Linked DNA regions of Coturnix japonica. The protein of the gene in region 1 interacts with the protein of each later gene in a pairwise test. Links are inferred from orthologs where the notes say so. Each region holds a gene or a part of one and is shown on either strand. Other genes may lie near its edges. The genes, in order: TRAF3IP1 and OLFM1.

The links.
Region 2: the proteins of TRAF3IP1 (region 1) and OLFM1 interact in a two-hybrid assay, tested with the Homo sapiens proteins (2 studies listed by BioGRID and IntAct). The link is inferred for Coturnix japonica from reciprocal best matches to the Homo sapiens genes TRAF3IP1 and OLFM1.

The regions. Positions count from the first base shown.
Region 1 is NC_029522.1:3,278,721-3,282,547, reverse strand, and holds part of TRAF3IP1 (TRAF3-interacting protein 1), read left to right. Parts: intron 1-773; coding exon 774-864; intron 865-1,826; coding exon 1,827-1,913; intron 1,914-2,447; coding exon 2,448-2,568; intron 2,569-2,716; coding exon 2,717-2,753; intron 2,754-3,355; coding exon 3,356-3,432; intron 3,433-3,827.
Region 2 is NC_029532.1:6,128,716-6,131,677, forward strand, and holds the end of OLFM1 (noelin), read left to right. Parts: intron 1-489; coding exon 490-1,164; 3' UTR 1,165-2,320; downstream 2,321-2,962. UniProt on the Homo sapiens protein: Contributes to the regulation of axonal growth in the embryonic and adult central nervous system by inhibiting interactions between RTN4R and LINGO1. Inhibits RTN4R-mediated axon growth cone collapse.

The DNA.
Region 1 (3,827 bases):
ATAGCTAAATCTTCTACTAGAAATTAAACAGTGCTTTTTAATAAATAAAGCACTTCTGCAATTTAGTGAGGGTTTTTCTTAGACTTATGCTATATGCTAAAGATTAAGAAAGAAAAAGGACTGTAGCAAAATGCAATTTGGTTGTGTTTGCATGCTCTTAGTAGACCTTATTCAGGTCGTTGTTAGTAAAGAGAATACCAAAAAGCAATCTGTGCAAGTGCTTTGTAATTCAGGTTAAGTGCTTTCCGAAGGGGAGAGAAACCTAAGGACATAAAATGGTCATAAACTATTACTACTTTTTTCTTTTTTTTTTTAACTTGAAGCAGATCCTGTGGGGAACTTCTTGTCACAGGTAGTTATTGCAACAACCACTTTAAAACGTACCATTTCCATTTTCTTAATGCCTGCACATGACATTTTTTTTTTCCTCCCATTACTTGTATTTGTGGGTTCAGCTCATGTTAAAAGCGATTCACAAAACCTTTCCTACAGCAGCAGATAACTGGGGCAGTGGTGAATGGTGAGGGTGAAATTCTCCTTTCTATCTTGTAAGCAACATGTGTGGTAGACATCAAGATGCAGTGAGAGCAAGAAATCAGCTGAGTCCTTGGATATATAAAGCTTGTAGAGTTGCACTTAGTTTGTCATATGATTAATTTCATTAACACATTAAAGTATAATGTTGATAAGGCTTGAAATACTGTTGTAAAGAATTAGATTTGCATTTTCTACGTGGCAGGTAAGCCACTATTACATTTTTTTCTATTGAATAGAAGATGAAGCAGAGAACCTTGATCCTGAAAAACCTGCTGTATCTGAAAACGATGAAGCACCCAATGATCTTCCACCTCAGGCTATCCAAAGGTTGGTTCCTGTTCTTTATTCTGTCTGAGTGAAGCACCAGTGGTGTCTGGAGGTCACATGGTTGTAGTGGAAATGCTGAAGCAGTGATTGAGCACCTGGTGGGAAGGCAGGGCCAGCCTAAGGGAGCTCAGGAGCATGCAGTGTGTCTGAGTGATTGGAAGGGCTGGAGCCAGGATCCACCCCTTCCCAGACCTCATTTAAGGGTTGGCAGTGGAGATGAGGGTGTTTTTTGCTGGAGTTCCCTGTGTGTTTGAGGCCATTCAAAGGCAAGCAGCTCTTTTCCTTCATTTTTGTTTCTGTGGTTGCTGTGCTTGGGCTTGTTCTCATTTGCTGTAGCCAAAGACTTTGCCACCCTGCTATTATCCTAGTACTTTCCATCCCATTATAACATTACAACCGTCAATTGGAAAATAGCAAGGGAATGTGAAGCAGTTTGTGCTTGTGGCGTGCAATAATGAATATTATCCCATGTACGGTTCATTTTATTTGTTTTCATTTCCTTCTACGAAGGAAACTTCATGTCTTGGATGTGCATTCTTAATCCAAAAAGTGCCTTGATGTAATCTTATTATATTAAGAGTGATCTGTGAAGAGTCTGAGTCTGTTGCATCACTTCAGAAGTATGGTGTTAGGGATAAGATGAACTTGACTTTCAAATCCCAGTTTACTTTTTCTTTGCCCAGAAATAAGCTACTGTAATTGTATTACTTATGGAAATATACTTTTTCCTTTTGCTGTTATTGCTAGTTAACTGTGCAGTATCCAGATTATTTTTAGTGAGACAAACTAAGAGGTGGTTTTACCCAAAATGATACTATTCTTGTTGAAGGTCACACTTGTTAGGTTTTCTCAGACTCCTACTAGGTCAGAAGGTATTGCCATATAGGATTCTACTCTGGGGATGTTTCCATTGGTTTTATGCTTCCTTTTACAGTGTAGGTGAAAAGTCTTTTTTCTTGCAGACGTATTCCTCGTCCTGGCAGTGCAAGGCCAGCACCACCCCGAGTAGTGAAACGCCAAGAAAGCACGGAGGCTTTGCTTTCAGAAAGGTGAGAAGTGTGGGTGATGCAGAAAAGATGCTGTTGGCTTTTACGCCACAGTATTCTAAGATGTTGTGTTCACCCTGTGCCAGTGAATAGCATCAGGATGAGTCACCCTACTGATTCAGGCAGGAAAACTCAAGCCTTTCTGCAAATCCAGTGTATTATTTAGAAGTTACAGTTAGTGGCCACATAAGGAAGTTCAATGATAGATACAATTTGATTAATTTTTTTGTCACTGGGAACTTTCAAACAGGTAAGCCTGGAATATTAATCTTAACTATCAATATAAGAGATCTGTAAGGCATGTAGTGTATCTCATGCTCAAAAAAAGGCTGAAACAGCCCCTTGAATTTATGGCCAAAATGTCTTGCAGGTGATGTCAAATAAGTGTCAAGCACTAAAGCAGTGTATTCAGGAGTAATGGCAGTGAAGGAATTTGGTGTGCTGCTTTATTTTATGGAAGGAGGTGAGGGGATAGATCTGAATGGGATTGGGCCTAAAAACTTAATAGGTTTTCATGTTCGTTTCATCTCTTATCAGGAACGGTAGTGCTAAGGCAGTCTCAAATGTGATCATAGACCAGCAGGCTTCTGATGATGATGATGACCAGTTTGTGGTGGAGGCAGCCTTGCCCGTGCCTGAAATGCCAGAGCTGGAAATGGTTTGTTAATGTTATAAATTATAGAACCTTTTCTCAGCCTTTGTAGCTTGCTTGTTTAAGTAGCTTCTAGCTGGACATGTTGTTGAATAATTTTATATTGTAGTAATACCAAGTTTTTCCAACTAAAGCTCTCTCCCTGCATGTTTAGGAGCCAGAAGTGGATCTGGTGGAGGATGAGAAGCATGGTATGTTTGCTTTTGTATGTATTTGTATGCATATACATAAGAGTAAAGCCACAAGTTTAAACCAAGTACTAAGCTCTTGCAATGGGGAATACAGCAGCAAAATACCTTTTGATGGAGCAGAACCTTGCAACTTTGCAAGAACACGGCAAATGTTTCTCAAATGAAGTCTTGTATAGCCGAGCAGAGGGATTTACAGCTGATGTCAAACATGTATCTTCTGTATGTCTCTTTGAGATAAGTGAAGGGGTTGGCTGGTCAAGGCAAGTTAGAGAAAAGCTTCTAGGAAAATTGATTGTCTGGTTCATGGCAATGGTTATGCTTACTTGTGACCTCTGATATCTGATTCAGGGCCTTCAGTCCATTGTGGCCACACTGGATGTGATTTAGGGAGGCTTATTTCTCTGTACCAATAAATTATTAGCAGATTGCTATCTGTGTATACACATGTGCATGTGTATGCAGATAAGACAGTGGAAAAATAAATTTAAAGTATCTTGTATCTCAGTAATTGAAATACAATGGAATACTGTTCATGTTGGGTTTGATGTTATTGTCTTGAATGTTTAGAATCATGTTCTGAGAAATATCCTCATTTTCTCCAGGTGGACTTGTGAAAAGAATCCTGGAAACAAAAAAGGATTATGAAGCATCACAAAAATCATCTAAGACGACAGAAAAAGTAAGATGGAAATAGCCTGCAAGAAATTGTGGTTATTATATATTGTAACGTGGTTTCATACAGCATTTAGTAGTCCTTTTTAGCCTGCTTGATCTCAGCCTTGCCATAGATGCAATAAGGCACACACTGCATTTATGCAGCTACGTAATTAATTATTGTTTCAATCTTAATTGTCCTCTGGTAATATCAACCGATCATCAGTCATTATAATTACCTATAAAACATAGGGATCTGGTGCAGTTAACCATGTACAGTAAGTATTACCATATCACCAGGTGCTACCTTAGTAAAATCTAGCAGACCTGGGCTTTCTAGACTGAAACAAGGACGTGATTTTATTTCTCCAGCCAGAAACTGGGATAGGGAAATAAGAGGGAGGGAGGTCTAGAGCTGTT
Region 2 (2,962 bases), on another chromosome or scaffold:
TTTAAGCTTTTGATGGGGAAGTGTGTGATTTTTAAACCAATATGGACTTTGCCTGCATTTCCCTGACAATGAGCAATTGTGTTCCTCGCTCCTGCATGCCAAATTAACAGAGCTCAGCACAGCAGCTGCTGTGATTTACTGAGTGGGATCGTAATGGGGCTTACAGGAGAGGAAGGCAGCATCTCCATAGGGTTTAGTTGCAGAAAGGTGCTGCTTGCCCTCTGGAGGGACAGTGTTGGTCCTGTGGCTATGCCAGCTTACCCCCAGGAAAGCTGTGCTATTCTCTCCATTCCCTAATGAGTCTGTGGCGGCAGCCTGAGGTTTGTTCTGGGCACAGGAGGCTTTGGGTGTGTTGTTCTCCAATGCGTGTCTCAGTGAGGTTGGCCCCAAGCAGCTCACTATGGGTTTAGCATCCTAGGCAAATGACTGCCTCTCTGATGGGAGGTCTCAGCTGTTCCCTAACCCCACGTGTTTCTGTTGCTCGCCCAGGTCTGGTACATGGACAGCTACCACAACAACCGCTTTGTCCGCGAATACAAATCCATGGCGGATTTCATGAATACCGACAATTTTACCTCTCACCGTCTCCCTCACCCGTGGTCAGGCACTGGTCAAGTGGTCTACAATGGCTCTATCTACTTCAATAAATACCAAAGCCACATAATTATCAGGTTTGACTTGAAAACAGAGACTATTCTCAAGACTCGCAGCCTGGATTATGCCGGCTACAACAACATGTACCACTACGCCTGGGGCGGCCATTCGGACATCGACCTCATGGTGGATGAGAACGGGCTGTGGGCTGTCTATGCCACCAACCAGAATGCGGGCAACATTGTCATCAGCAAACTGGATCCCAACACACTGCAGAGCCTCCAGACCTGGAACACCAGCTACCCAAAACGCAGCGCTGGGGAGGCCTTCATCATCTGTGGCACGCTCTATGTCACCAATGGCTATTCGGGAGGCACCAAGGTGCACTATGCTTACCAGACCAATGCCTCTACCTATGAATACATCGACATCCCGTTCCAAAACAAGTACTCGCACATTTCCATGTTGGACTACAACCCCAAGGATCGTGCCCTCTATGCCTGGAACAACGGGCACCAAATACTTTACAATGTCACCCTCTTCCACGTCATCAGGTCTGATGAGTTGTAGTCCATCCTTGTTTAGAAACTGATTTAGGAAAACAAACACACGAAAAAAAAAATGTAGAAAAGAAAAAAAAAAAAAAAGGGAGAAACGAATATAAAAAAGAAATGCTAATATTGAGGAAACACACTTTAAATAAGTAAATAAACAAACAGCTGCCAAAATTAAGACCAACATTGTAGAGGATTATTCAGCATAGACCTGACAGATCAGCATTACCTCTACATTTCTAGAAGTCTGGCCCCGTGTTATGGACTCATGACTAACCATGTACTTGCAGCTGGAACTGCACCTGGAGAACCACTTCAGTTTGGGGTTTTGTTTTGTTTCTGTTCCGATAGCAAACCTATAGCGCATACAAAAGAAGTAAGGCAATGACTGTTGGAAGTTTATCCTTGGGAGACTCGATCTCTTCTGTGTGGGGGTTGCATGGACATTTTCCGACATCGCGGGCAGCTGTGATGGATGTGTGATTTGTATTTCTAAGCAGAAAGCTGACCCGTGAGGAGCTCTCGCTGTCTGAACAAGACCTATCACAGGTTAGTTTTATTCGCCTTCCATTGCAGCTACTGTCTCTCAACTGTGTTCTTGTCACTTAGATTAACTGTGCTGAGACCCGAAGTAGCTCATGGATCTGTGTCTTAGTAACTATTAAACACGATGGTTTAAGTATGTATTATGAACAAGTTGTTGTACCCATATTGTTTGAACTTATGTATTCAGCAAATATATTGTATAATGTATGTCTGTTATTTACCAGAGGTGGCGAAACTTTGTATGTCCAGTTTATGCAATGAATGTTGTAAATGCAATGATGTAGTTTGGATTAATAAATGATGGTTTTGTTTCTAAAAAGAAAAAAAAAAAAAAAAGAAAAAGAACAAAAAAAAAAAAGCTCAGTGTTCACCCTTATACACAGATAACCAATTTCATGTTGATAATGACAAGAATATTCTCTTACTGTTATAATATCTACATAGCATTATGGTGGTTGGAAATAGCTTCTGTGTGGAAATTCTGTGCCGTCAGATTCCCATGGGAAGCCCAGTTTATGGAAGTGTGAAGGTAATTACTTCTTTTCTTTCTTTTTTTTTTTTTTAAAGAGGAAAACTTTGTACTATCCACAGTTATCTAAGGAACAATAAAAATATTAGGAGACTTCCCCGCTTTGTTCGTTATGTGTTCTGTGCACGAGCAACCAGGTGCAGCGGGAGAGGATAAGAGGAGTCGCTGTGGGGTTTTGGGGTGATGGCTGCAGCAAGTTGGGTGTGCTCCCAGCTCAGAGCCCTCTGCTTGCATGGCCTGTATGTAGGGCTGGGTCAGAGCTGTAGGACAGACTGGGCTCCATGGGGTTTTGCATACTCTATTTCTTGCCCCTTTGCAAGATGTGTGCGTCTCCCTGTGCATTTGATGGGTCTTCTTTTGGACTTCTGTAGGCTCTCCTGTTGGTTATCCAAGCCAGACTGTGCACTTAGGGGGAGATGGATGTGACTATTTGGGTATGCTGACATACAAGGCATGGCACAATGGCAGAGCGCCGGCGCAGCTCTTCATGCGCCTAATTACCCAAAGTCACTTCTATCATTAGGCGAGGTTTGAGGACAAAAGAGCAAATTTACTTCAAAATATTGATCTGCAAAAAGTAAATTGAATTACAAAACGGCAAAATAATGCTGTTTGCTTTAGGGCGCAGCTACATTTAGACTCTAATTTTCCTAGTGCAATTCATTTAATACGAGACTCAACAGCACAAAACGTCCTTGAACACAACAAAGGCAGAGCAGCTTTCCTGTAACTTGTACCC